Stegostoma tigrinum: one gene and its partner. The protein of the gene in region 1 interacts with the protein of each later gene in a pairwise test. Links are inferred from orthologs where the notes say so. Each region holds a gene or a part of one and is shown on either strand. Other genes may lie near its edges. The genes, in order: dmd and ctnnal1.

What was found.
Region 2: the proteins of dmd (region 1) and ctnnal1 interact in binary tests that used the Homo sapiens proteins (3 or more experiments, as listed by UniProt). The two-hybrid records come from large-scale screens. The link is inferred for Stegostoma tigrinum from reciprocal best matches to the Homo sapiens genes DMD and CTNNAL1.

The regions. Positions count from the first base shown.
Region 1 is NC_081365.1:58,607,776-58,623,470, reverse strand, and holds the start of dmd (dystrophin), read left to right. Parts: upstream 1-8,581; 5' UTR 8,582-8,735; coding exon 8,736-8,817; intron 8,818-15,695. UniProt on the Homo sapiens protein: Anchors the extracellular matrix to the cytoskeleton via F-actin. Ligand for dystroglycan.
Region 2 is NC_081355.1:106,360,600-106,376,514, reverse strand, and holds the start of ctnnal1 (alpha-catulin), read right to left. Parts: upstream 7,102-15,915; 5' UTR 6,998-7,101; coding exon 6,911-6,997; intron 1-6,910. UniProt on the Homo sapiens protein: May modulate the Rho pathway signaling by providing a scaffold for the Lbc Rho guanine nucleotide exchange factor (ARHGEF1).

The DNA of each region.
Region 1 (15,695 bases):
CAGCGTACCTCACCGAAAAAACTAAAGAACAACAATTTATAATCATCGGGTGCGTATACTGTTTACTATCATAATTTTATTTGTACTGTGTGGCATTGATCCGAGCTTTGTGTTTCACTTTGCTCCATCTCACTGGCAGATATGGACACAAATTAAAAGTTTATAAGATTGCTACATTTTGGGATGCAGTCTTAAATTTGCCACAAAATGGAGAAATGGAAAGTGTCATACTACCTGTTGTAAATTTTACTGACAATAGGTCTGGGCGGTGCTTTGGTAAAGGGTGTCCAAGTTGTTTTACTGGGAAGAAGATACAAAATATTCATACATGAAAAGAATGACCTGAACAGCTGTTTTGATGGTGCATGGACACAGGTCTCTGGGTCCTAGCCAGGTGTCAGAAGAATGTTATGTTTTGGAAATGCTTATACTCTAAAATGTCCACTTATTTAGAATTTAGTATGGGGTTTGTGTGGCATAGTAGTTGTGTCCCTACCTCTGGACTGGGAGGCTCAAGTTCAAGTCCCATTTGGTCTAAAGGTGTGTGATGGCAACACTGAACAGATTGATTGAAAAAGGCATGTGGTTGGATGTAGTTGGAGTATTTCTCCTTGGACAGAAGGCTCATGTGATTCATTAAAATGGGCTTTGAATTAGGATACGTTCACAGGAAATCTGGTTTCGATCGCAGAGTTTTCCTGTATATCACTAAACATCACAGACATGGTCAAACTGCAAAATGTGTGTGTGTGTGTGTGTGTGTGAGAGAGAGAGAGAGACCACGCTCTAATGTTCACAATGCAGAAAGTGGCTGGGAGTTCATGCTCGGATTGCTAGAAGACACCATGTTTCTGAGAGATTAAAAAGGTTGGCAGATTATTTTTGCTTTAGCAAGAGAGGAGCATCTCCAATTCATACCTAAATGTGTAACTTAGTTCTGGTAGAGAAAGCTAGACTGGGGTGAAGAAAAATAAAGGAAGCAAGCTGTTAGGAGCTCACTAGCACTGTGAACCGGGGAGTATAGTGTCCATTTAATGCATGGAGTAAAATATAACCAATACTGGGAGATATTTGCTCATTGCAAAAATTAAACAGCAGATCTTTTCTGTAGTTTAAACTTTATGTTGCCAAATTAAATAGTGTTCATTCAATGCTGTTTCTAGTTTATGTGATACATTAAAAGTCTTAACTTAACTCATGACATATGATAGTTTCAGTCATCGAATGAACATTTGAGTTTCCTTTTAACTGTGATTAGTCTCCAATGGGATAACTTGTACGGGTTTATTCTGTATCTATGGAGTTGAGTAACCTTCAGTTTTAAACAGGAGTGAGAGTCATTTGCTGCAGCTTTACCCAATACTACTATTGTTTGGGAAACTGGCCTTTGTGTCTTGTGGCTAAGGTGGAACCTGGATTGAGAGGATAGTTAGAACTGGTAAAGTGGTGTCAGAAGGAATTAGATGCACCCTGAGAGACTGCACCATGCCTATTCCAGAAATGCTGCTGATTTAATGCTGCTAACTATAGCCTTGTATTTACATGTCCACATATTTTAAAGGCACACCTAACAAAGCAAAATGTTCATTAACCAACTTATCATTTCTACTACATCTAATAGAGAGCTGATTCTCTTACAATCTCATTGCTCCTGTGCTGCTTCACCCATCTACACCAGGGATCAGCTGAAGGCATCTGTTAAACTGCCCCAGGATTTCTTGCTCGATCATTCGTAACAGAATCTTCAACAATCGGAGAGCTGCTCCCTGGATATATTGCCTGAATCCTGCTTGCCTTGCTTCATTTCTACCATCTTCAAAAGTTTGTTTGAAATGTATGATCCAATTTTGCCAGAGTTCTCCTCTCCTTTTTCTTGTTCAATTCTTGTTAAGTTACCGAACGTCTTCCATCCTTCAAAATGCTTGAGCATGTTTTGTTTCCTACACAATATAAGTTTTTCAGTCTGGCAGCCTGTGACCAGCGGGCTGTAAGGCTAAGCTCTATGTTCACTGCCTTTCGCATTTATATAAATGACTTAGATGTGAACATAGGAGGTATGGTTAGTAAGTTTGAAGGTGACACCAAAATTGGTAGTGTAGTTGACAGCAGAGAAGGATACCTCATATAACAACAGCACCTTCATCAAATGGGGTGATGGGCTGAGGAATGGCAGATTGAGATCAATTTAGATCAATGTGAGGTGTTGCAATTTGGAGAGGCATATCACGACAGGACTTATACACTTAATGGTAAGGTGTGGGGACTGTTGATGAACAAAGAGACCTTGGAGTGCAAGTTCATAGTTCCTTGAAAGCAGAGTCGCAGGTAGGCAGGATAGTGAAGAAGGTGTTTCTTCCACTTGCCTTTATTGGTCAGCACATTAAATATAGGAGTTGGAAGATCATGTTGCAGCTGTACTGGGCATTGGTTAGGTGAGTTTTTGAATATTATGTGCAATTCCCATCTCTCTGCTATAGGATGTTGTGAAACTTGAAAGGGTTTAGAAAAACATTTACAAGAATGTTGCCGGTGTTGGAGGGTTTGAACTATGGGGAGAGGCTGAATAGGCTGGGACTATTTTCCCTGGAGTTTCGGAGGGTGAGGGGTGACCTTATAGAGATTTATAAAATCATGAGGGGCATCGATAGGGTGAACAGCCATGGTCTTTTCTACCAGCTAGGGAAGTCCATAACTAGGAAGCATAGGTTTAAGTGTAAGAGGGGAAAGATTTAAAAGGGACTTAAGTTACAGCTTTTTCATGCATAAGGTTGTAGGCATGTGGCAGACTAAGTGGTGGAGGCTGGTCCAATTGCAACTTTTAAGAAGCATCTGGACAGGTACATGAATAAGAAGGGTTTAGAAGGATATGGGCCAAATGCTGGGAAATGGGACTAAATTAATTGAGGATATTTGGTTGGCATGGACAGATTGGACTGAAGGGTCTGTTTCTATGCTGTACAGCTCTATGACTGTAAGTGATAATTTGCCCTTCTGATTCAGTTGACAAGTCTGTAAATGAGATTACACTTGAGTTAGGATTTAAGCAGCAGAGGTTAGATAAACAACAATTAATGAAGGATGAAGATGGGAGTTCTGCCAGGACTGCTTTGAGATAGCCAATTCTATGATAATATAGGCCTGGATTAAGATTTCAACAACAGCTGAGCTGAGGAAGGAGCAAAATACAATGTGTTTTAGCGATGATGCAGATATGTAACTAAAAGTTCATCTTGGGTTCAAAAGTGACACCAAAGTCGAGATCAGACAGGTTCAACATCTGATGGCTGCCAGGGAAATAGATGAAGTTGTTCGCAAGAGAATATATTTTCTGGCAGCAGATAGGGACAATGGCCTTTACAGTACATACTAAACATACAGAATAGGAGCTGTTCATCCACTCTAGTCTGATCCATCATTCAACAGTTTATAGCTCATGCATTTCTGTTTCAAATTCAACACTCCCATCTAATCTAGATTACCCTTGATTCCATGTCCCATATATATTAGGTAAAAACTTTCTACTTCTTTGGTACTAGATGATAGGCAAGCAGTTTAACAATATAAACACAGCTGAAGGTTCATGGGATATGTTGGAGGGTTGGAGCTGGATGTCATCAGCATAATCTGACCTTGTGCATTGCTTTGAGAATCACCAGGGCATTAAATTTTAATGGTACTGAATATTCCAGGCCACACAGGGGATACTGGAGAATGGGATAGAAGGTATGTTTGGAAGGATGTCACCTTTTTCACTCTTTAGCTTCCCTGTGCAAAAGACGTGTCGACTGTGAAAGGCACAGAACCTGCCACAAGATTCCTTCTCTAGTGAACCATGTCATCTGTTTCCCTGGCAACCATTAGAGGTTGAACCTGTCTGATCTTAACTGCAGTGTCACTTTTGAGCTCAAGATGAACTTACGGTTATGAATCTGCTCCATTGCTGAAATTCCTTCTATTGTATCATTTTACTCTGCTTCTTCCTCAGCTCAGCTGCTGTTGAAATCTTCATCCAGGCCTATGTTACCATAGACTTGACTAGACATTACAAAGCATTCCAGGCCAACCTCCTGTCTTCACTCTCCATAAACTAGAGTTTATATAGACCTCTGCTGCTTAAGTCCTAACTAAAGTATCCAACTTACAGTCATAGAGTCATACAGCACAGAAACAGACCCTTTGGTCCAGCCTGTCCATGCTGACTATAATGTCAAACTAAACTATCCCATCTTTCTGCACTCAGCCCATATCCCTCCAAACATTTCTTATTCATGTACTTATCGAAATATCTTTTAAATGTTGTAACTGTACCTGCATCCACCACTTCCTTTGGAAGTTCATTTCATACACAAACCACTCCCTGTGTAAAAAATTGCTCCTTGCGTTAATGTTAATGTTATCTAAGAAGGCATTGAGTCTCATAACATTAACTCTACAAGATCAGAAAAATTTATTTTCAGTTAAGGAGAAACAAAGTGCTAGAAATGTATTGGTGAAATTCATGTAACTTTTTTTTCCCAAAACTTACCTCCTTGGTTCCTCATAGTAATTCTAATAGGTGTCTTTTCTATATTCTCCCACAATTGGAGGATATGTATACTGAACCCATTTGTTTCGCTTCTTAATTTCTATTGGGAAAGTGAAACAATACAGGTAAATGGCAGGAATGAAATTTCTGTTCTGTTGTCTGAAGGAATATTCCTTTCAATATTCTGTGCTGGAGAATGTCTATTAACTACACAAGAAAAGAAAGTGAAAGCCATGTAAAAATTTGAGAGTTTCCTTTGGGACCTCTGCTTGCTTCAATTCAATGATCGGTGCTTTACCACAATTGTTATCTGAATGCCCCTCATAATAGGATCTATAATGTGCTTGAATTGTGGTCAAATGTGTGATATAACCTCTGCTAAAATGTTTGAGTCCTATTTGATGGCATGTTACACAGATTCACTTCGGGAAACTGAAAAGTAAAAGCAAAGAAAGAGCTGTATTGCATTCTATTCTACTTGCAACAATTGCATACCTCTGCATGAGAACAGAAATCAGGACAATAATGAGATTAAGGGGGTAATTCTGAGAGATTGTCCCTCCTCAAAATTCTTCCTCTCTTTTCCTAATTAAATCCAGCCTGAAAATTTACAAGAACGTCCTCAGATCTAGAAAAGTAGCAAACATTCCATTCAATCTCATTAAACAACCCTGATGCAGAAATAGGCATGAGTCTAGAAGTTCAAGAAATAGGCAGATTCCTTTACTTCTTTTATTCTTAAAGAGATGAGGGCATCGCTGACCAGGCAGTATTTATTGCTCATCCTGAATTGCCCAGAGGGCAATTTAGAGTCAACCAGATTAGCCAAACTACAGCTGTTGTATATATTCATGCAATGTAAATATACAAGATGGCTAGGGGATAAGACAAGGTCAATACAGAAAGGTTGATTCCCCGTGTTGAAAGAGTTTAGGATGAGAAAGAACTGTCTCAAATTAAGGGACTGCATATAAAAGAGAAGGATGAGGAATTTCTTTTCTCAGTAGGTACTGAATCTGTGGAATTCTTCACCACAGATGGCTGTTGAGAATGTGTCACTAAGTCTGAGACAGACAGAATTTCAAACAGTGAGGGGATCAAAGCAAAATGAAATTAAGGATTATCAAATCAGCCATAATCCTGTTGAATGGCAGAACAGATTCGATGGGCTGAATGGCCTACTTCTGTTTCTACATCTTTTGGTAATGCAAGATATGTTTAGTTTTAGAGGCAGTGAACTTTGTCAACAACTAAACATCATAAGCATGTGTGCAACCAAATGCCTATATTGGAATAACGTCTACTCCTTATCATGTGATAAATATATTCACATTCAACTGAAACAAAGCAATGGGTGATACAAAATTAGGAGGTATTGTTGATAGCGAGGAAGGTCATCAAAAATTACAGAGGGATCTTGATCATTTCGGAAAGTTGGCTGAGGACTGGCAAATGCAATTCAATAAATATAATTGTGAGGTTATTGCACTTTGGAACGCCAAACCAACGTAAGCACTGGAAAAGGTGCAGAGGAGATTTACCAGGATGTTGCCTGGTCTGGAGCGAAGGCCTTAGGAAGAAAGGCTGAGGGAGTTGGGTCTGTTCTCACTGGAGAGAAGGAGACTAAGAGGGGATTTAATAGAGACATACAAGATGATCAGAGGATTAGACAGGGTGGACAGTGAGAGTCTTTTTCCAAAGACGATGACATCAGCTTGTATGAGGGGGCATAGCTACAAATTGAGGGGTGATAGATATAAGACAGATGTCAGAGGCAGTTTCTTTATTCAGAGAGTGGTAAGGGCATGGAACCCTGGCTGCTAATGTAGTTAACTCAGCCACATTGGGGGCATTTAAACAGTCCTTGGATAAGCAGATGGATGATGATGGGATAGCGTAGGTGGATGGGTTTAGATTAGTTCATAGGTCGGCACAACATCGAGGGCCGAAGGGCCTGTTTTGTGCTGTATCGTTCCATGTCCTATGTTCTAAGACTGACACAGTAAATGGTAAGGTCCTGAGGAGTGTGGCAGAACAGAGGGACCTAGGAGTACAAGTATATAGCTCGTCAAAAGCAGCATCACAGATAGACAGGATGGGGAAGAAGGCATTTATCATGCTGGCCTTTATCGGTTGAGGCATTGAGCACAGGGGTTGGGGCATTATGTTACAGTTGTATTAGTTGTCAGTGAAGCTACATGTGGAGTATTGCGTACAGTTTTGGTCACCCTGTTATAAGAAAGATTTAGTTAAACTGGAAAGTGTGCAAAGAAGATTTACGAGGATGTTGCCACGACTATTAGGCTTGAGTTATAGGAAAAGCTTGTCCAGGAGAAGACTTTATTCCTTGGAGTGTGGGAGAATGAGGGGTAACCTTACTGAGGTGTATAAAATCATGAGAGGCATAGATAGGATGAATGCTTATTATCTTCTTCCCAGGGATGAGGAATTGAAAATTAGAGGGCACAGGATTAAGGTGAGAGGGGAAAGATTTAAGAAGGGCCTGAGGGGCAACTTCTTCATGCAGAGTGGTGCATATATGGAATGGGCTGCCTGAGACAGTGGCTGAGGCAGGTACAATAGCAACATTTTGAACCATTTGAATAGGTACGTGGATTGGAAAGGTTTAGAGGGATACGGACAAAATGCAGGCAATTGGAACTAGCTGAGTGGGCACTATGGTCAGCATGGACCAGTTAGGGCCAAAGGGTCTGTTTCTATGTTACATTACTCCATGACTCTATGACTCTGTAACTGCTGCATTCCAGCAACTTAGTTAATAACTATTCTTTTATATCATGGTTTGAAAAGCAAGCTGTCTTATGCAAACCCTTGGTGCTTGCCATCTCTGCTTCTTTGCTTGACCTGCTGCTCTTATCAATGTTCTCCCAATTGCTGGGGACAGAATCACTAATGATGGGATAGCAGATATGAGGGCTGAATAACAGGCCAGAATTCGAGCAACAGAGAATCCTCTTGAGGCTTGTAGCAGATTGGGGACCAGAATGAGAATTTCAAAGTTAACGGATCTGAAACTAGGAATTCAGCAAATAAAAGAGCAAAATTGAAAGGTGACCTAATAGAAGTTGATAAAATAATGAGAGATATAGACAGAGTTGTTGGGGAACTTTAAGAAGGGAGGGCATGTTTTTAAATTGAGAGGAGCGAGATTTAAAAAGGACATGAGGCAAATTATTTAGACAGAGGCTGGTTCGCCTGTGGAATGAGTTTCCTGGATGCAGGTACAATTACAACGTTTAAAAGATATTTGGATGGATATGTGAACAGGAAAGGTTTGGAGGGACATCAGCCAGGAGCAGGCAGGTGAGACTAGTTTAGTTTGGGATTATGGTTAGCATGGACTGGTTGGACTGAAGGGTTTGTTCCCATGCTGTACGTCTTTGTGATTCTGTAACTTAAATCGTTGCTTTAATATAATTGTCATTTAAAATTACTTCTAAGGAGGTTTAGTTTCTTTAAAAACAAATCCAGAAGTTGCTGGAAAAGCTGAGCAAGTCTGGCAGCATCTGTGGAGAGAGATCAGAATTAACGTTTCGGATCCGGTGACCCTTCCACAGCACAGCACCTCTGTGTTCGTTTCTGATTTGCAGCATTCGCCGTTCTTTCGGCTTTTTGGTTTCTTTAAAGTTTGATGTAACCCCACTTCTAGCTTGCTGCTATTAGATTGTCATTTGTGTTACCGACTATTGCTCCAACTTTTCCAAGGGTTTTGTCAATTAATGTCTGACGAAGGAAATAAAGTGATTGCGAGGGGAAGACACTTGTAGCGGCGATGGCGTTGGCGGAGGGAGTGGGGAACGGCACTGTCCCTTTAAAGACCGACAGAGAGCCTGTCAGTGTCAGGAGAGCAATCCGACTGTAGCCTTTCCTGATTTATGGGGGTGTCAGGTTTCCCCGGCTGATTCTGTACACGGGCTGGGCCGCTTCCCCACATTATTGATATATATGGAGTGGATTTATTTGGGGAGGGGTGGGAGAGGGACAGAGAGGCTCACCTGTTGATGTGTATCTGTTAGAAGTTGTGACAGCCCTGATCTGTGCCTGAGGAGGAGCTGCCCCGTCTTGAACTGCCCTGCAACACAGCGCTAGCTCTGCCGGAGTTGGAGACTGGCTTGAAAGCCAGCGGCGCTGGAGATCTCGCTGCCCGCAGCTTCCGACAGAGCACAGGCTGAGGCTCCAACATCGACCGATGGCAGAAGCTGGGCGTCCCGAGAGTGCGAGAGACGATTCGGCTGGAGACGAGTTTAACGAGATCATCAAAACTCGAACGGGTAAGTGGAGAGAGGACGGGCTGGAGAGGACGGTGCCCCGTACTGATCCCAGCTGAGGTTTGGCAAACTGAGAGTAGACCTCCAACTTTCAGAGGCTGTAAGGCTCTGGCGCCGGAGGTTTGGAAAGACCATTGCTCGTGTTTGTGTGTGTGTGTGTGTGTGTGTGTGTGTGTTTGGCTGAGCAGCTGCAGAGTAGAGTTGGCACCGGGAATGATGAAGCCCACCGAGTTAGACCCTGTTGGGGCTGCCCTCCTCTGAGATGGGCAGAGACCGCTCACTCACAGCGGGAGCTCTCACCGAGAATGGTTACAGCTGGAGTCGGGCTTAGGTGACAGAGTGAGGGTAACATGACAGGACCTAGAGAAGATAAAACAACAACTTTCCCGCTAGGTCAACATTTTGGACATAAAATAATGTGTGTGAGTGTGTGTGTGTGTCTGTGTGTTCGGTAGGACCGTGTATGTATTCCCAGTGATGTCCATAGGGAGAACACTGAGGAAATATTCATAAAGTGATTGTCGGGGTGGGATACAATGCGGGGGTTGAACTGCGGTAGTGTCTCTTTAAATACCGCAATGACAGCCTGTCAGAGTCCAAAGGACTGAAGAAGGGTCTAGGACCGAAACGTCAGCTTTCCTGCTCCTGAGATGCTGCTTGGCCTGCTGTGTTCATCCAGCTCTACACCTTGTTACTTCAGAGTCCAAAGGACATAGGCGCCAGTGGGTAGTATGTTGCTGCTGTTGCTCCTCCCATTGTAACAGAAGGGCAGTCCCCGGAACCTGCTTCTTCTCTGGTGTCGGATGGAGAGATGGACCAATCCGGGGGACTAAGGCCGCCTTAAAGTAAAGCAACGAAGTCGGCAACACGAGCTTGTGTGAGAAAGGAAACCTGCAGTGTACAGATTCTTCCCTCAAATAATGCAGTGGAAGGTTGAGGTTTGCTGGCCATGAATGATAGCAAAGGCCGTGTGAGACACACTTGGTGGCTTCTCATCCTCCCAGGGGCGTCCAGTTGAAAGTCTGGATACTGTGGGTTCCGAACTGGTGATAGAAACCCTTTGGAGAACTCTGTGCTGTGCAGGAAGTGAGATATGGGTTGCCTAACTGACAGTTATTAACTGTCGATCACCCTCAAATTCCAGCATATCCAATAAATCTGGTCGGTTGAAATCAACTGAGTACTTGGTTGTAAACTCCTTATTACATTGCAGCTCGTTTGCGGTCCAGTGTTGCATTTCTGGATTAAAAAGAGGGCCAACAGTTTGCTTACTTTAAAAGTTTCCCTTGCAGCCACATGTTCAGTTACTTTGCATGTTTTATCCAGTTATTCGCAACTTCATCCCGAGTGGGTTTCAGGGAGCTCGGTCATAAAATGCATGTACAAATTTGACAACTCAAGCAGCTAATGGCGCTAAGCCCCACGCCTTGGCGTATACCGAATTTGCTGTGTAACTGGGTTCTCAAAGAGAAAAGCACTTGGAGTGTTGGGAAACCCTTTGGGGAATAGATCATTATCCCGCGGAATGAAGCGCTGTTGAAGGAAAACCACAGCCACAGGGCTGTGTTGGAATTTGGCAATGCCGCTTCTGTTGACGTGTGCAGCCCAGTGCCAGTTACTGGGAAAATCTCGGGGAAACAACAGTCTCAACTTTGAGCAGGGAAAGGTCATGTTTTATTTTGATGTTAGAAGTTATGCTAGGGACAGCTCGGTGGAGACAGCCACCTGCTCTTCGGGAATTGAGAGAGTTGTGCAAACTATTTTAGGCCGTCACCAATTAAAAACTGGTTTTACATTTCATTCAGGAGTCCAATGTGATCGTTATTTTGTGGGATACAGGAATATCTATGCGCAAAAACACAGCTCAGAAGTATCCCGAACACATTTAAAGGAAAACCACACTGGAGAAGAGCCACAAAGACTTAACCTGGCATTAAGCTTGGAAAATCTAGTTCATTGATTTGGATGGTTTTTAATTCCTTCTCACCAACCAAAAGGTTACCAAAATATAAGAAAGAAAGTCTCTCCAGGTTAAATGGCAGTAGGTTTTGGTTGGGGGTGGATTCCTAGCTCAAAGCTAAATTAGAATTTAAGCACAGTGATACAAAATGGTAAAGTTGTTCTGCTTTAGTAACTAAAAGGAAATGAAAATCATCAAATTCTAATCTCTTCGCATGTACACATCTTTGGACTATCAGTCCCATATTGACAACAACAGTAAAGCCTGGGGCTCAGATATTCCTTGCTTTGAGATAGCAGGTGGATGGTTAGAAAGTTATTTGGAATAAAAGTTCAACTTAAGTAAAACACAGATTCTATAGTGATGAGTCAGTTGTAAAATTACACATAAAATCTCTTTAGATTAAGTGGACTGCTCAAGAACTGTTTATTTATTTGAAATATATTTCTGATGCAATTAAATCAGTTTACTTAGAAGGAGAGTTTGAAGAGAGATATAAAATCATTGAAGCAACTCCATTGGATCAGTCAATTTTATTTGATATTTAGCAATTCTATAATAATAAGCAAATATTGACTGTCATGTACAAAAATAAGACTGTTCCCCTGGTGGTAATGACGCTTTCATGATGCTATTATTGTGATCAGTATAATTTTTTGTAATCAGAGAGAATGTTTATCTTGAGCTGCAGGCATATTATCAAAACTGACTGGCAGTAGGGTGAAAGACTTTTATTTCATTATTGTCTCCCAATGCATTGATGGTGAAATTGAAATGCTTTGGCAGAAGTAATAACATATTCCATATCAGAATAATGTCACTTTGGTATTATTGTGCTGAAAGTTTCAATAACTTAATTTTCAACAAACAATGCAACTCAGAAATATTTACAAATTAAAGTTAAGCGAAGTATTATTTGTTATATTCTACAGCACAGCACTCCGTCCATAGTAGACATTTGTGCATGTCTCTGGAGTGAAATTTGAAACACAGCCTTCTGACTCAGATATGAGAATGTTACCACATTTACCATGGCTGAGAACACAGTGACTCAATAGGGTGTCACAGAAAATTTGACCAGTCAAATCCATGTGTGCTGACAAGTGGTTGTCAGATTCTGCCTGAATTTTCTTTCTTTTTGCTTTTGAACTACACAATACAACACATATTGTGGAAGAAAAATACAATTCAAAAATATTTACAAATACAAGTTCGAGAAAGTTTCAGTGTAATAATGCTAGATATAAAATGATTCCAATATGGAATGCGCTATGATTGCTGCCAAAGCATTTCAATTTCAACATCGATACATTGGAACCAACAATAATTAAATGCATGCTTTTAACTCAGTCATGTTGCTCAAAGTTACACGTTTCTATCATATACACAATAGTGTGATATTATTAATATGATATATTTGTCACATCACCGGTAAGTACGAAGAGACAGATATATTTTTGTCATGCCCTTCAGTGTTAACTACTTGAGACATACTTTTTATTTAATGACGATCATTATAAAACTAACTTCCTTGGTTCTATGTAACATATCCATTTATTAAAGGTATTCTAGTTACAGGGAGGGGAGTGGGGTGGAGGGGGCAAGCATTTTGTTTAAAATATATCTCTTTGCTGTTAAGCCAGGATTAATCACATAAGTATGTTCTAGCTGCACAATGTGAATCCTTATTTTGATTTTATTAATGCCACTGCAGATTTGCAAATTCAGGTCAAATAATTTTGGCTGTGAGTTCAGTGTTGCACTGCTTTAATACTCATTTGAACTACAAAGGTGAGATTGTCTGCCTTTGAACTCCATTAGTGTGCATTTGCTTTATCATTGACCTAGCTACTGCTGTTTGCAGCAGCAATATCCTGAGTGCCAAAGTGTACATCTGGGTACTATAACTGGTGAACCAAATGCATTCCTCCCACATAACGCAGTTGAAATGTAACTGCCAAGGAGTAAAATTTTGTCTCAAATTCAGTTATTTGCTTTTTAGGCTTCTATTGGACAGAGGGCCCTGCAAAGGTTAAAAAAACTTTGCTTTGCATTGTTTTAAATCCAAGGCTTGCTTTGGAAACATAACTATTGAATTTTTGTTCTCACAAGACAAAAATTGACTGAATCAAATTGAACTTATTCATAATCACCTCGATCTTAAAAATCCTCAAAGCATTGATTGTGACACTTGATAGGCTGCAATGTTAAATAGTCATTCATGAATCATGAGGGTTTCCTTGCCCTAGGCAATAATGCTTTCATCCTGTTTCACACAAAATGTTAATTTAATACAATTAGATATAAAGGCACCATAAAGTTTATATGTATTTATTAAATTAAAGTGAATTCTGCATTCTTCTTCAAATCATTTTCTTGAATAATTTTATCACTTACTTGGTTGCATCTTCTTTCAGTTGTAGTGGCAGACTTGCCAAAAAAATCTGCCTCATCACCAAGATGCTACCTGGGATTATGGTAAGACAGTAGGTGGCAGATCACGTAGTTTGAGTGCATTCACCCAGCCAACACGTTCAATGACTGTCCTTACATTTTCTATATTTCAGCGCATGCATTTTCAATTGAGAGAACATCTGATTCTGTAGTCATCGTAGTTGTGCATTAGTCATGTAATCGACAGACATTTTACATGTCATGTTAGCAGTACAGCATATGGAATAACTTCCTGGGTGCATCTGAGTTTAATCACTCAGACTGCTATTGTTCATATTTCTGAAGTATCAGAGAACCCTTTATCTGTGTCCCAGACCTAACTGATTTCATATTTTCCATATGTGAGATTAGAAACAAAATTCAAACATACACTTAGCAAAGAAAAACACTGTCAATACTGGAAATCTGAAGCACAGTAAAAACAGACAACACTGGAAATATTTTAGCAGCTCAGGCAGCATATTTGGAGATAGTTAACATTTCAATCACCTTTCACCAGAATTTGGAAACGTTGGAAAAATCCTACAGATATTAAGCAGGTGAAGAGGTTGGGCTCACAACAAGAAAAAGAATGTGAAACATTAACTTTGGGCTGGTGGCGAATGAGCTGTTGGTGGTATAAGTAGTGTTGGATCAGAGTGCAGTTTGGGAAGAAACGTTAACTAGTTTGCACCAGATTAAAGTCCCATTTTGCAGTGCAGCTGTGTTGTTGTATAAGGTCACTCTAGTTATGTTCCAATTCACTGAATTCCACATCTTTAATACATTACAGTGTGAAGTCACAAAGCGGAAAATGTTGTGTTATGTATCAGAGCTAATATATCAATTGTAATTTTAAGAGACATTCTTATGAAATCACTACTAACCGGCATTTTAGGAGCAGAAAAGGTGACATTTCAGGTCTAGATCCTTCATCAGAAATGGGGGAAGGGAAGAGGGCTCTGAAATAAATAGGGAGAGGGGGGAGGCGGAGTAGAGTTGGAAAGAGGAGAAGATAGGTGGAGAGGAGACAGACAGGTCAAAGAGGCTGTGATGGAGCCAGTGTAGGTGAGTGTAGGTAGGGAGGTAGGGAGGTAGGGAGGAGATAGGTTAGTCCAGGAAGGACGGATAGGTCAAGGGGGTGGGGGAAGAGGTTAGTAGGTAGGAAAAAGGGTAGGAAATGAGGGTGTGGCTATATATGCACTATCCGGCATTTGCAGTGTTTTGCTTTTGTTTAGAGAACAGGTTGGACCTTTCTTCCCTGGAGCTTCAGAGCTGAGGGCTGACATTATAGAGGTTTATAAAATCTTGAGAGGCACGGATGGGGTAAATAGCCAAGTGTTTTTCCCAGGATGGATTAGTTCCAATTTCGAGGCCATAGGTTCAAGTTGAGAGGAGGAAGATTTAAAAGGGACCTAAGGAGTAACGTTTTCACACAGAGGGTTGTGTATGTATGGAACAAGTTGCCAGAGGAAGTGGTGCAGGTAGATGCAATTGCATTATTTGAAGGCATCTGGAGGGGCATTTGAATAGGAAGGGCATGGTGAGATATGGGCTAGATGCTGGAAATTGGGACTAGTTCAGATTGGGAAGACTGGTTGGTGAGGACAAGTTGGACTAAAGGTTCTGTTTTCATGCTGTGTGACTGTATGTAACCAGATGGTACAAAATTCTCAGTCTCCATCTTACTGGAGCCTCTTGCAGCATGACACACTGAGAGATGCATGCAACAGGTTAAAACCGAATTGTCCACTCATAACCCTGACAAAATAGTGCCTATGAGTTATAATATGTGTAGATACCAGGATTAGTAATAAAGTCTATTGAATATTTTAGTATAATGTTACCTATGTCTAATTCTTATATGATGGAATCTAATACAAGTATTGTCTCAAATAGCAGAAATTCCTTGCTGAGAAAACTCATCACTGCATCCACAGTGTATCATGAAGGCAGATTAAACCAGAAAGTAAGGAATCAGGGTATGAGAAGTTCTCTGCATGAATTAAAGCATGAAACAAGAGTAGGCTACTTTCCTATTTAAGTACAGACTTTGAAACAAATTATATATTTTTTATTTTTGATTCCATGGAGCTGTATAATATTCCGAAAAATTGAGTATTTTGATGGAGTTCACTCTGAAACTCTGATCACTCAAATTAAAGCTCTGAGTGTCAATTCCAACATTACCATTGCACTTGAAATTATGGCCATTTTGTTGATGTCAAATTATGGCAAAGTACCCCCCAATGTAATTAATATAACTTCAAATGTAAAAGAACGTAAGACTTATGCAAATACCAGCTGTGGTTGAAGTGTGATTGAAACAGAACCAATCGGGTTTCAGCGTTTTGGAGTGGACGAGCTCTACTTCCAAATTTCATGATCCTGAACTTATGACCTATGACAATCATTCCCTATAAGCACTAATAAATGGACAATGGAATTGAAACTCAGTAATAACGCAATTTTACCAAAGCTTACCACT
Region 2 (15,915 bases), on another chromosome or scaffold:
GGTTGGCTAGTGGGCTGAGGAGTGGCAGATGGAGTTTATTTTATAAATGCGAAGTGCTGCAGTTTGGAAAAGCAAATCAGGGCAGGATATATACACTTAATGGTAAGGTCCTCGGGAGTGTTGCTGAACAGAGAGATCTTGGATTGCAGGTTAATATTTCCATGAAAGTGGAGTCACAAATTGATAGGACAGTGAAGAACATGTTTGATATGCTTCCCCTTACTGGTCAGTGCATTGAGAATGGGAGTTGGGTGATCATGTAATCGCAGTATAGGACATTGGTTAAGCCACTCCTGGAGTACAGTGTGCAATTCTGGTGTCCCTGCTACGGGAAGAATGCTGTGGAACTTGAATGGGGTCAGAAGAGATTTACAAGAATATTGCCAGCGTTGGAGGGTTTGAGCTCTAGGGAGAGGCTGAATAGGCTGGGGCTATTTTCCCTGGAGTGTCAGAGGCTGAGGGGTGACCTTGTAGAGGCTTATAACATTATGGAGGGGCATGGATAGGGTAAATAGCCAACACCTTTTCCCTGGGGTGGGGGAGTCTAAAACTAGAGGGCATAGGTTTAAGGTGAGAAGGGAAAGGTTTAAAAGGGACCTTCAGTGCAACGTTTTCACAGAGGGTGGTGCAAGTATGGAATGTGCTGCCAGAGGAAGTGGTGGAGACTGTACAATTGTAACATTTAAAAGGTATCTGGATGGGTATGTGAATCGGAAAGGTTTAGACGGATATGAGCCAAATGCTGGCAGCTGGGACTAGATTTATTTAGGATACCTGGTTGGAAAGGACAATTTGGACCGAAGTGTCTGTTTGTATACGGCAGCTGTATGACTCGATGACATCAGGTTTCATTAACAGGAAAGTAACTAGTTATAAATCAAAATTACTGTTTAACAAAATGAGGAAAAATTACCAAGTTACTATGATGTGACTTAAACTGCGACTGAAATCCCCAAGCATATATATTCATTCACAAATAAAAACAAACAAAAATAGACTATTAGACACAAACATTACACGGTAGAAAAACATAAACAAAATAAAAATACTTTCCGTACATCAAATCCAGACCACAAAGATGGGATATGTTATTTCTCAAAGTTCTTTTGATTCTTAGCAGTGATGACATCATCCAGCCGCACAGCATTGGTCAATCAGGTGGACCTAGCCCTTTTGTGGAATTCTTTCCTTTTAACAGTTTCCAGGTTTTTGGTCATTTTCCATATAGGGAGTGAAGGGACAGAAAACTTTCAATGTTTGCGAGCTTACATTGCACTCTCAGGCCTGTGACAAAAGCGCGGCTGGAAAAGCCTGAAACCTGTCATCAAGCTGTTTTCCTTAACTCTGAGACAGTCTCAAAGTACACATCTCACTACATCACAAACCTTGCATAGCTAAAGGGGACACCAACAATCCTACATGACATTCATTGCCAAATAGCTGAAAGGAGAGTTTTTTGTAATGTCCAACTTCTGTTTTTCAGTTTATAGTCCATAAAGGAGATATATGTAGCTTAAGTAAGGAATTATCAGCAAGTCTAATACAAATTAAGAGTTAAAATGTGCTCTAACATTTCATGGCTAACTATTAAGGTTCGTAGTTCAGAATATTCCAAAATCTCTGCCTCTAGCTGGAAGTTGTGAACTTTGTCAGATGGTTTAAAATATCCTCTATCCTTTGGAAGTTTACATATCCTGGACAATTACTGCATCATCAGTGCATCAGGTCACTCAAGTAGCCCAGATGCATATCTTTCAAGCCAAATTCAACCCTTGACTATCCAAAGAACAGAAGATCCAGGCCACAAAAAGCAATCAAGTAAATATTATTAAACCTTGACGGGTCTGAGTATAATCTTCTCAATAAGCAACTGCAGTTTTAGGGTTGCTATGGTTGGAACCAACACATTTTTCTACTTAAGAAATAGGGGTGCAAACAGAAACAAATGTAGAATTGCAGATGAATTAAAATTGACTCCAGTGGTTATGCATGGAACTGTACAGGGTGAATACGGTCACACTGTATATTTTCACAGTACACTTCATGTTTCAGTTACTGCATTTATTCTACCTGCAAGGTGTTGTTCCAGTAAAGTGATATTACCTGATAAAGAGCTCCACAGATTGAAGAATTGTTCATGTAGCTTTCTACTATGGAAATCTGGGACTGATACTAAACAAAAGGGAGCTGCTGCAGTAATCTTTTGTCACTGTTACCATCAGCTAGTCATAAATGCAAAACTTGTTTAGTACCAGGCTAATCTTAGCTCCATGGACAACCATCAATTCAGTCACAATTCTCCAATTAAACTTGATGCAACAATACTAAATCTGGAGAAAGATGAGCTTAATCAGTTTGGCAGAATAGACATTTTTTAAATGTCAATGTTCAGTGAGATTTAGCAGCACTCACAGCGGAAATGCAGAAAGTTGGTAGCAGATGCACAAGACAATTAGGAAGATTCATGACATGTTGACCTTTAGTACAAAGGGATTAGCATGAGGGAGTAAAATAGTCTTGCTACAATTATATTTTGAGAGCATTCCTGAGTACCATATACAGCTCTGGTTTTGATATCCAGGATGGAGACATTTGCTGGGGGAAGTACATTGGAATAAATCTTGTGAAATCTTCAATGACAGGATTGGCCCATGATGAGAGATTGAGTACACTGGGTCTAGTCCCCAGAGTTTCCACAAGAAATAGTAAGAAGAAATTATTCGGCCACTCAGACCTGGTCTAACTTTCGGTGCAATTATGGACCAGACCAAACCGCTTTAAATATATCAAGGAGATAGCCTAGACCCCAACTTTTATCTTGTTTAAAAGGCAAGTCTAAGGTGCTGTATTCCAGATGTAATTGGATTGGTTACACTACTCGAATTAAAAAAAACTCTACATTCTTACCCTCATTTAAAATACAAACAAAAGAAATAAGAATTGCTATAACTTTAACTCAATTGGAAAACTCAGCAAAATAATGGATTATTTAACTACTAAACACATTGAACTCGGCCTCATATACATTCCACCATGGAGGAAACCCGGAAGTGAGGCAATCCATCGCAACGGACCCCAGAATTTGCAAACCAGGCAGGAAAACACACCGACACTTCAACAGCGGCTGCACTGAGGATGGTACCAAGCATGGTAAAGAAACATCTGCAGAACAACAAACCAGCTCAGCCAGCCAACCAACCTCAACACATTTAAGCACAATATAATAATAGTGAGCCACATTACTGAGCAAAGAAGGTAGCAATTTTGACCCAAAGCTGTCTATGCTGGTACTTTTCAAAGTGCTATCCGGTTATTCTATCCCTTTGCTTTTCTGTGATAGTCTTGGAAATTTTGTCAGAATATACAGCTAATTATCTTTTGAAAGTTACAGCTACTGTGTGTGCTTTTGCCACCTTTTCAGGTTATGAATTCCAGATCATAACAACACGCAGCACAACCCAATCCTCATTCCCCCAAGATTAATGTGTATATGTAGAGTACTCTCTCGAGCGTAACAGTTTATATCAAGGACTTTATTCTGGAATAAGTGTAGATTTAAATTTAAATTGTATTAGATCAGTATTCAACACTGTGACTGACCAGCCTATTGCACTCAATTTGAGTAACACTTTCAGAATTTTGATTTTTGTGTCCTCTAGGTATGTGTAAATACTCTTGGATATGCATTGAAGCGGGAAGAAAAGCCAGAGAGTTATTTTTAACACATTTGAAATTCCTGATTTGAAACTGATTCCAAAGTAACTTTCAAAAATAAGTTAGAGGGGAGTGGAATCAAACAGCAATAATGCGCAATGTATGAATGCAGGCATCTGTAAAGTCTTGTGCTACCAATCCATATTGAAGCACATAGTCTTGTTGCTGTTTGAATGAAAGCCCTTTGAAAATAATCCTGTCAAACTGATAATCAAATGTAAAAATTGTCACCAAGTACACTTCAGGAATTGCTAGCAGTGTTGATGCACGAAGAACCATCATGGCAATATTCAATGTTTCTAGGCAACATTGGCATCTGTTTGTCATTTTCAACACTAAGGCATAATGAGTACATCACAACACAAATCTCATCATCATGTCTCATTGTACATCTTAAAACGCAGCAAGATATCCTGCAGTAGCTACAAATTTTAGTAGCACTCAAAGTACTGTATATCATCTCAGTATTGCTCCAGGTACTAGCATTAATAAGTCTTCAGGATGGACCAAGGGCTATGTGATGGAAGACTCAAGTCAAGTTCTGTAATTATGTGGAAAATAAATGCAGACACCCATTTTTAATAACGAGAAAAATGAGTGTGTTTTCATGTTACAACTATAAATGCTGCTTGTTCAAACATACATTTTATAATCACATTTCAATAGTACAATACAAAGAGTACTCAGTGCAAACTTGAGTGATTGAGCACAGGGGCAATTGCTTTCTACCAATGGTCGTATTGGCTGAAATAAAATTGCATTTAAGCAATGGACCAAAGGAAAAGAATTGAAGCTCCTCAAAAGGCCAAGCTCTCAACGCCACAACACAATATAAACTCTAAGTTCTAAATATCTGCTTTTTCTCAATGACCTCTCTACTCTTCCCTTTCAATTCTGACATAAATGTTCCTTCAATGTACAAGAAAATAGTAAGTCAGAAACTTTCATAGAAATTGCCAAATATTCATATTCCACTGAAATTTAACTCAAATTTTAAAAAATTATTTGTGCATCTTTTGCAGGCATTTTCTGTCCCAACAAACCAGAATTTGCTGTACCACAGCACATATAAAGTAACTGCCAAACATGAATTTTGTTCTTAAACATGTGAGTTTTTAAAAATGTGCATAGCCAGTTACTGGAAGTATGATCTGACAATACTTCAGCAGAGTATCTGGGACCTGGCTCAAACTGTAAGCAGCTGCACATCATATTACCCAGTCAGAATGGAAGATTATGAAATTCACAGTGCAAAGACTGAGAAGCACGTACAGGTTAGAATGGGGAAATTCATATTGGGTGCAGTAGAAGAAATTTTCATTGTTGAAGAAAATGTAAAACTTATAAAAAGAGAAGTAAAAATGGACAGAGGTAGGAACACAAAAAAGGAACAGTGCAAGCTGTTTTAAGTTTTACATTTTCTTCAACAAGGAAAATCTGAATGAATGAAACTCACACTTGAAATAGCCCATTTTCATTGCTAGAGAAGTTGATTGATCATGGTTAACACATCATAAGTAGGTACGGAGGCTAAAATGGTCAAGACAACTTTCTCTGCTTAGTTGATTCTAAAATCTACAGGAGAGTGAGAATTTTGTGCTATCTGACACAGTTCAATGATGAGCCAGATAATGAGATGAACAGTGCAGCAACAGCACCCCAGTAGCAACTTTCAAATGTCCATGTTCCATTGTGCCTGAAGTCACTGTAATATGTGTACATCAATAACACTGAAAGCCATTAGCTTAGCAGTAGCATTTTTCAGAAAGCTTAATTTGTGACAGGAAATGAATATTTACATCCATTGCAAATGTGATGTTTAGACAATACTGTAGTACAATGTTCACATTCATGGAAAATGTCATGAATCCATTTTGCTTGGTCCACTTTCTCATGTGTTGCTCAGAACATCTATTGAACTGCATTTTCAACGATTTAAACAACATCAATAAAATTAATCTTACAAGAACAAATTAAATCAGAATTCAAAAATCTATCAAAGCATATGGTTTAATCTGATATATAGGAGAAAATTTGGTGATCTTAAGAGGTTTCTTTCAATAACCCAAGTTCTCTTTCTTTGCCTAATTATATACACATAACAGCGGGATTATGCGATTTGCTGGTGAAAAGGACAACTAAGACAAAGGTGTCATAAAAAGCTTAAACTGCAAAACAAACATTATGAGCACATGCTTCAATTTAAAGCATCTGCCGGTAGAAAAGTGGCCAGAGCTCGATAAAGCTCAGCCTTGCAGAGTTGTGCTGGTTGATTTAACAGAGTGATGTGAGCGAAAAACCATCAGCGGATCACGAGTGGACATTCAGCAAGTTCCCAATACACATTTGTGGACGTTGCATTATTTGTCATGACGAAGTTGTGTTCGGTTTGGAAGTTAAACGGGAAACAATACGTCCCTGTTCTCCGGTGAAAGTCAGTGTTGCTCTCTCCGAAAGCTACTGAGTTTGAACTTTCCAGTAAAACACTGGCTCCATTCTGTGAACTGCATGCCTCTGTACTTTTTCCTGTATGTCTACATGTCCCTGTGGGGCGGCAGTACATTCGCGTGTGGCCTCTCACCGGCTGCAATGTGCTGTCAGAACGGTTCCCTCCGGATAAAATAACCACTCCATCCTCTCCTGCTACATGGAGTGGAGGTCTTTAACAGAGCTGCACGTTAGCTTTGAGCACGGTACAATGGGAAAAGGGGGCTGCCAGCACAGGGCACTTTAATCCATCACCTCTCCTAACAGTGCGGGAATGAGTTTGTTGAGTAGTTATACCCACCTGAAAACACTAAAATCCCAACCGTTGAAGATGCCAAGGGATTAATTTTATACATCACCCATGCTTCTGAGGGTCCCAGGACTTCTATATTCACGTAGCTCTGGGAGCCACTCAGTTCGTTTAATGTGGGTCTCTCCGCATGCTTTCGGGGAGTCTCAGATCTTTTACAATCTCATTGATATACCTTCGGTGGAGGGGGCTGGGGGTCAGAAGTCCCTCTCTTTTTACTTGAAGGGGGTGTCGGAGAGATGCCCCTGCTCCCCTACCCCTATGTGGCGACCCGGAATCTGCTCATTTACCCGGAGGGGTCTCCTGCCTAGCTTTCATTCTGCGTTGCCCTGAGATCCCCCTGCCTCTCACTCACTCAGTCCAGCGCTTCTCTCGCCCTCCCTTTTCCAGCACACATACCTGAGTCACCAGGGGGATGAGGGTCTGCTCCACCGACCTGGTTTTGATCTCCAGTCCGGGATCGGTGTTGCAGTGGGAAGAAGCCATGATACCGCTGAGTCCGCTGGTACGGCTGCAGATGCAGAGCCGATCTCGTTCTCTCCCTCTCCCTCTCCGAGTGACTGAGAGGCGGGAGAGAGGGAGTTGCGTCTCTTTCCGGCTGTAGGAGGAGCTCTGGAAAGTGTTGAGAGGGGATGGGGGAGGTAACAGTGTTGGGATTTGAGTTTTCATTGGTGCTCTGACTGTGGTACATACGGTTTTCTCGTTAAAACGTGGTTTCAAAACAGCAAATGCCATTGAGTTCATTGGCGAGCTGCAGTGTGGTGCTCAGAGGAAGGGAAGCAGCGGCGGCGGCCACTGCTGGTGACCCTAGCAGCCCCAGGCACACAGCATCGCTCCAGAGCCATGCCCCGCACCCTTCTTCTCAACTTTAACACCAACTCCGGGGTCATATTCACAAAACATGCAGCCTCAGGCTGGTTACTGCACTCTGCTGCTGGGTTCCTGAGAAAGGTTACTCGCAAAATCAATCGGAAACCAATTTCCCTTACACTTCTTGCCAAAGATAGGTAACTGCAAAAAAAACTCAATCTTTTTTTGGTGGAGGTGGTTTTAGCTTAAATCTGTTTCCGTTTGTATTTTTGATTTGCAGACGTGTTTAGCAACACAGCTGCCCTCACTGTCTGTGCTCAGGTTGGTCTAACCACTTTGCCATTTGTCTTTTTTTCTTGAAGTATGTTTTACTGTACTTCAATCCCACATAAACGGGATCTGGTCTTGTTAAATTTTGAAGATTTGCAGTGATAATCTTATCCTTTTGCTCCCTGACGGGAAACAGGCATTTGATAAGGTTCCCCATGGTAGGCTCATTCAGAAGGTCAGGAGGGATGGGATACAGGGGAATTTAGCTGTCTGCATACAGAATTGGCTGGCCAACAGAAGGCAGCGAGTGGTAGTAGAAGGAAAACATTCTGCCTGGAAGTCAGTGGTGAGTGGGGTTCCACAGGGCTCTGACCTTGGGCCTCTACTGTTTGTAATTTTTATTAATGATTTGGATGAGGGGATTGAAGGATGGGTCAGCAAGTTTGCAGACGACACAAAGGTCGGAGGTGTCGTTGACAGTATAGAGGGCTGTTGTAGGCTGCAGTGGGACATTGACAGGATGCAGAGATGGGCTGAGAGGTGGCAGATGGAGTTCAACGTGGATAAACGCGAGGTGATGCATTTTGGAAGGTTGACTTTGAAAGCTGAGTACAGGATTAAGGATAGGATTCTTGGCAGTGTGGAGAAACAGAGGGATCTTGGTGTGCAGATACATAGATCCCTTAAAATGGCCACACAAGTGGACAGGGTTGTTTAGAAAGCATATTGTGTTTTGGCTTTCATTAACAGGGGGATTGAGTTTAAGAGTCGTGAGATCTTGTTGCAGCTCTATAAAACTTTGGTTAGACCGCACTTGGAATACTGCGTCCAGTTCTGTTCGCCCTATTATAGGAAAGATGTGGATGCTTTGGAGAGGGTTCAGAGGAGGTTTACCAGGCTGCTGCCTGGACTGGAGGGCTTATCTTATGAAGAGAGGTTGACTGAGCTTGGTCTCTTTTCATTGGAGAAAAGGAGGAGGAGAGGGGACCTAATTGAGGTATGCAAGATAATGAGAGGCATAGATAGAGTTGATAGCCAGAGACTATTTCCCAGGGCAGAAATGGCTAGCACGAGGGGTCATAGTTTTAAGCTGGTTGGAGGAAAGTATAGAGGGGATGTCAGAGGCGGGTTCTTTACACAGAGAGTTGTGAGAGCATGGAATGCGTTGCCAGCAGCAGTTGTGGAAGCAAGGTCATTGGGGACATTTAAGAGACTGCTGGACATGCATGTGGTCACAGAAATTGGGGGTGCATACATGAGGATCAATGGTCGGCACAACATTGTGGGCTGAAGGGCCTGTTCTATGCTGTACTGTTCTATGTTCTATAACTACAAGACTTTGTCGGCCAACAAGGCTCAGAACTGTGGTGGGAGCATTGGTTTAAAAGATACTGGTTTAAATGAATTGCGGAAGCTCGAAATCTTAAGCAATAACAGAAATTGCTGGAAAAGCTCGGCAAGCTATGGAGAGACAAGATGATCAGAGGATTAGATAGGGTGGACAGTGAGAGTCTTTTTCCGAGAATGATGACTTCAGCTTGTACAAGGGGCACAGCTACAAATTGAGGGGTGACAGATTTAAGACAGATGTCAGAGGCAGGTTCCTTACTCAGAGAGTGGTAAGGGCATGGAACGCCCTGCCTGCCAATGTAGTTAACTCAGCCACTTTAGGGGCATTTAAACAGTCCTTGGATAAGCATATGGATAATGATGGGATAGTGTAGGGGGAGGGGCTTAGATTAGTTCACAGGTCGGCACAACATTGAGGGCCAAAGGGCCTGTTCTGTGCTGTATTGTTCTATGTTCTAGAAAGCAGGGCCAACGCTTGGAGACACCAGTGACTCTTCAACAGAACTGAACTTTGCTTTCTCTCCACAGATGCCACCAGATCTGCTGAGTTTCTCCAGCAATTTCTGTTATATTTTAAATTATGGTTGTTGTACCCAGTCATAAGTATTTGAAAATTTTGATATCACTGCAAAATATAGTACAGAAGTGATGTTTATGTCTGTCTTCTTGGAATAATTTAACCAATACACTCACAGATCCCAGATAACAAAGTGTAGAGCTGGATGAACACAGCAGGCCAAGCAGCATCTTAGGAGCACAAAAGCTGACGTTTCGGGCCGAGACCCGGATTCAATTCTAAGTGATCAAATTTGAGAGTAATAGCAAACTAACAAAAGCATTATTCAGTCTGAGAAGGTGGTCTGGAAACTAGAAAATAAGTTGAACAAAGGTGAAAGTGTGGAGAACAGTGCTGCACATTTTTTTGAAAAAGCACCAAAAGAAACTATTCCATGAAGTGTGAGAATGACTAAGATGAAGCAGAAGGGAGGTTTCATTGGAAGATCACAGACCTGAAATGTTAATTGTGTACCCCAATCTTCACAGATGCTGTCAAATGTGTCCAATATTTCTGGAATTTTCTGTGATTTTAGATTTCCAGCATCCATATTACTTTGCCATTGCCAAAAGAGAGCCATTTTTTAAAATAGATTCAGCACTCACTACTATAACAGCAACACAAATATGCCATTCCGCACCTCTAGATTCTTCAAACATTCCAGTAGGTTGCAGTTAATTTATATCTCATTTTTATTTATAAAATTTGATCTACGTCCCTTGATACCCTTGCCTAATGAAAATCTGTTAATCTCAGTATTAATGCAGTTAATTACAATTCAAAATTGATCTGATTACACTTACTTCTGTGGCTATTTTGAGCATAAGAATTCCACATTTTCAACTAGACTTTGCGATCACTCTTGCATCATTTACTTTCAGTTTTATCCATAAAATGCCTATGTCACTGTCAAGTCTGACAATAGTTTTGGTGGGGACATAACGGCAAACCATCTTCTTGAATGTTACTGGATGGTTTATGAAGCCATTTTAAAGGCCAGTCCATAGTCACTGCTTTTGCTGTGTGTCTGAAGCCATAAATAGACCAGACAGGAAAAAGGTGGCAGATTTTCTTCTTTTTTTCTTTTCTTCTTTTAATGACACTCATGAACAAATACATTTTTATAACGCTCTTGTAGGTTTATGGTCCCCATTATTGATACAAGCAATTATTTAATTGAATTTAAATTCTCTAGCCATGATGGCATTTTAACTTGTATTTCTGGATTGTCACTCTGTTTCTCTGGATCAGAGGTTTACTAACATGACCGCTCTGTAATGAATCTACAAATGTTGCTCCTTGTCTGAATTCCTTCAACAGACAATATTATTCCTTGGCACTTACCTCTGCATTATCTCAGCGGGAAATGGCCTGGTGGTATTATTGGTGGACTGTTTATATAAAGGCCCAGTAATGTTCTGGGGACTCGGCAGATGGTGGAATTTGGACTCAATAAATATCGAAATTAAGTGTCTAATGTTGAGCATGAATTAATTGTCAGAAAAACCCATCTGATTCACTAATGTCCTTTAGGGAAGGAAACTGCCATCCTTACCTGGTCTGGCCTACATGTGATTCCAGATCCACAGCAGTGATTATTTCTTGGCTGCCCTCTGGATAATTAGGGATGGGCAATAAGTGCTGGCCTGGCCAGGGATTCCCTCATCCTGTGAATGAGTGAAAAAAAATTAATGTTTTTAGGATGTCAAATACTTTCAGTTAGATTACCACCCAAATTTGTGTTGACAAGGGAATGCATGTGACGTTATTGGATGCTGTTGCTGAGGCCAGATCATTGTTGTGCTCAAAATCAAATGCTACATGTCAAATGGGAATAAGTATGAGCAACTTTTAGCCATAGAGTGCCGTTAGAAGCAATTCCAAGAAGGATCATTTGTCTCATTTTTGGAAGAAAATTAATCTTAGGAAGAACAGTTGGACAAGTTGTGATCATCTCCATTGGAGTTTGGATGAATAAGAGGTGATCTTCTGAAACACAAAACATCCTGGGGGAATTGATAGACTGAATACCAGAAGGATTACACTTAAACTTGTGGGGAAACTAGAATTAGGGGAGTCAGTTTAAAAATAAGACCAAGATGAGGAGAAATGTTAGTCTTTCAAAGGGTCATTGATCTTTGGAATTCTCTTCCCCAGAAAGTGGTGAAGGCTCAGTCATCAAATTTATTCAAAGGGAAATTAATTAGGTTAGATGTTTTCGGGTGATGGGGGAAGATAGAAAGGTGAAGTTGAGAACACAGCTAGATCATCCAAATGATTGAATTGCTTACTCTGGCTCGTAAGCCCTATGTTCAAAGTTCCATTGACTGTAAACATATTTAAATGTTCAAAAGCATTTCACAGGACCATCATACATTTGACACTGAGCAACATAAAGAAGAATGAGGGCAGAAAACCAAAAGCTTAGTCAAAGAGCTAGTTTTCAAAGAGTGTCCTAAAGGAAGAAAATGAGCAAGATAAACAGAGAGCCTCAGGGAAGACATCTCAAATATTGGACTTTGATAGTAGAAGGCACAACTGTGTGACCTGGATGTCCTGCTCTTTATAGTCTAGACAGTGACAATAAAGGTCATTCATCCAGACTGAGCAGGCCCAGAAGATGCTAACTGACAGCAGAATCATATCGTCAAAGAGGCCTTTTGGCCCATTGCGTCTGCACTAACAAAAACTACTTTAACGCTATAGGAGATCCACTGGTGTCGAAGTATGGAAAATGCAGGGTGAATTTATGAGAGCAATGAAAGGGCAGGACAAAATGTTGGCAGACAAGATTAGGGAGACTCCCAAGATATTCTACAAATATATCATGGGAAAGAAGATAACCAGGGAATGAGTAGGGTCCTTTAGGGACCAAGGGTCAAACCGCGTGTGGAGCTGGAGGGCATTGGTAGCATGTTAAATGAGTTCTTCACATTTCTCTTTACTCAGATGATGGAAAATGCAAGTACAGAATTTTCAAAGATGGACTATGAAGTTATTGAGCAGATTGATATCAGAATCGATGAGCTATTGGAGATTTCAGCGGTGTTAAAAGTGGTCTATGGGAGTTATATCCCAGTTGTCTCCCAGAGCAGCCTGGGATACAAGGGGGAAAATTAAAGGAACCCTGGCCCAAATTGTAAAACCATCTCTACCACTGGGGAGATGCCAGAGGACTGGAGGATAGCTAATGCAATTTAACTTTACAGGAAGGAAGTGGAGATAGGTAAGAGAACTATAGGTAATGGATCTACTATCAGTGGAAAATCTTGGAGAAAATACTGTAGGACAAAATTAATATCCATATAGAGACATAAGATTTGACCGTAGACAGTCAGCATGGCTTTGTCAGAGAGAGATCATGTCCAACAAATCTGGCAGAATTTTTTTGAGGAGGTGATCATGCATGTAACTGAGAGTATAGCAATGAAGATTGATAGAGGTCTATGAGATTATGAGGGGCATGACCAAAATGGATAGAAATTGGCTTCTCCCCTTATTCAAAGGGTCAATAGAAAGGGGACACAAATTTCAAATGAAAAGCAGGAGGTTTAGGAAGAACTGGGGGAAAACCTTTATCAGTCAGGGGGTGGCAGGGTCTGGAATGCACAACTTGGGAGGGTAGTCAAGGAGGAAAACGTCACAATGTTTTGAAAAAGTGCTGAGATGAGCACCTTAAGTATCATAACATTCAAGGCTGTGGGCCTTGTGTGATTAGTGTAAGAAGTGGTGTATGTTTGTCAGTACAGACTTGATAGGCCAAAGGACTTCATCTGTGCTGTATGATTCTATGATTCTAAATACTCATTCAAGTACTTTTTAAAGGTTGTGAGGTTTCCTGCCTCAACTACCAGTAAGTCCATTCCAGGTTCCCACTACTCTCTGGGTGAATAAATGTTTTCTTTTACTCCCCTCTAAACCTTCTGTCTTTTATCTTAAAATTATGTCCCCTCGTTATTGACCCTTCAATCGCCTGTCATCCTCTCTAAGCCCTCACTCTGTTATAAAGAAAACAACCTGACCCGCAACATCAGCCTTCCTGCTCCTCTGATGCTGCCTGACCAGCTGTGTTCCTCCAGCTCCACACTGTGTTATCTCTGACTCCAGCATCTGCAGCTCTTGCTGTCTCTAAAAGATCAGTTATAAATTTGGCGACCTTCCCCAACTTCACAGCTACTTCCCATTCAGCGTTTGTCACTTATAAATATTTTGAAGAATTTTGTATTGTAGAAGCTGCTTCAGGAATGCATTTTTTTGGAAGTTAAAAGTAAATCTTTTAACTGTTCAGTGCAGTATACAATTTAGCCTTTTCTAAACAGTCTGAAGTACTCCAGCTGTTTAGTGTGCAGTGCCACAGTAACACAGAATTATAACTAAAAAGAAACTTGTGGTTTTCAGAATATTTGTGGTGTCAGTACAAAGTGGGATTAAAAATTTGGAAAGAAGACATGAGGATGTCAAAGGGAGAAACCACAGCAGATGAAAAGATGACCTGGCAGTTAAGTAGCAGCTGTAAGTAAACAAGCAGAATGTGTGTGCATCAATGGCATGGACAGAGTTCACTTTAAGCATCACTCTAGTGAATGGGTAGTTACCAATGAGTGAAATTAATAACTAAGCACATGTTTTCTAAAGTGACAATGTTTTCCAGCAACCACATATATATTCCACATATAAATTCTAGGTAAAAGTGAGAACGCATTTTTCCCTTGTTACCTCCAGTTCCTCACATTTTGATCAACAGTAAAACAACATGCCACAGGTAGAATAACTAAATTATAATACTATACTTGTGATGTTATTCAAATGGACCAACTCATTTATAATATTTTCTGTATAATGAAAAGTTGAGGATAAAGTTGTCATAGTCCTACAGGACCACAGGGTTGCTCTCTCTTACAGAGAGTTGACTAGAGTCAAAAAGTAATACAGCATGGAAACAAGTCCTTCAGCCCAAACTGGTCCATGCTGATCAAGGTGCCCACTCAGCTAGTTCCAATTGCCCGCATTTGGTCCATACCCCTCCAGAACCTTCCCATCCATGTACCTATCCAAATCTTTTTTTTAAATGTTGTTATTGTATCTGCCTCAACCACTTGCTCTGGCAGCCATTCCACATGAGCACCACTCTCTGCATGAAGAAGTTGCCCCTCAGATCCTTCTTAAATCTTTCCCCTCTCACCTTAAACCTATTCCCTGTAGTTTTCAACTCCCATCCATAGGAAAAATACAATGTGTATTCATCCTATATATGCCGCTCATGATTTTATATACCTCAATATAGTCATCTCTCATTCTCCTACATTCCAATGAATAAAGTCCTACCCTGGCCAACTTCTCCATACAACTCAGGCATACTATTCCTGGCAAAATCCTCATAAATCATCTTTGCACACTTTCCAGTCCAAATTTGTGTGACCAAAATTGTACACAATACTCCAATTGCAGCCTCAGAAATGACTTACACAGTTGTAACATAATGTCCCAACTCCCATACTCCATGCTTCAACCAATGGAGGCCAGCATGCTAAATGCCTTCTTCACCACCCTGTCCACCTGTGATGCTGATTTCAATGAACTATGTACTTGTACTCCTAGATCACTCTGTTCCATAACATTCCTCAGGACCTTACCATTTACTGTATAAGTCCTACCTCGGTTTGACTCCTCAGTGCAACTCCTCACACTCATCTGTATTAAATTGCATTTGCAAATCCTCACTCCAATTCCCCATCTGACCAAGGTCCTCCTGTAATTCTTGATAACTTTCCTTGCTATCAATGATACCACCACTAGTGCTGGTTTAACCCAGGGCCGCCACACCTCAGGTAAGGGGAGAGGTTGAGTTGAAGCCTCCTTCATGGTAACCTCAGCCAATGCAGAAATTGAATCACCATTTTTGTCTAAAGACACGGCTGTGACATTAGTTTTAATTTTCCAAACTGTGCAAATTTAAATTTGGTTGGAAAATAGTGAATGTAACTACTTTATTCAAAAAGAGGGAGAATGAGAAAAAGCAGAAAACTACATTCAGTGAGATTTACATTCTGTCTTAGAGATGATATTAAAAACCTATGATTAAAGAAGTTATAGCAGGGCACTTAGAGAAGTTTGAGGTAATCTGGTAGAGTCAACCTTGTTTGGTGAAAGGGAAGCCATGTTTTACCAAATTATTGAAGTTTTTGAGACAGTAATATGTGCTGGAGATAAAGAGGAACTAGTAGATGTATTGTACTTAGATTTTTAGAAGGTATTTAATAAAATGTCACTTCAAAGAACATTGAGGAAAATAAAAGCTCATGGTGTAGGGGGTAACAACATCCCTCAGTTCTGAGGAAGGATCACCGGACCCGACACATTAACTCTGTTTTCTCCTCCACGGATGCTGCCAGACCTGCTGAGCTTTTCCAGCAACTTT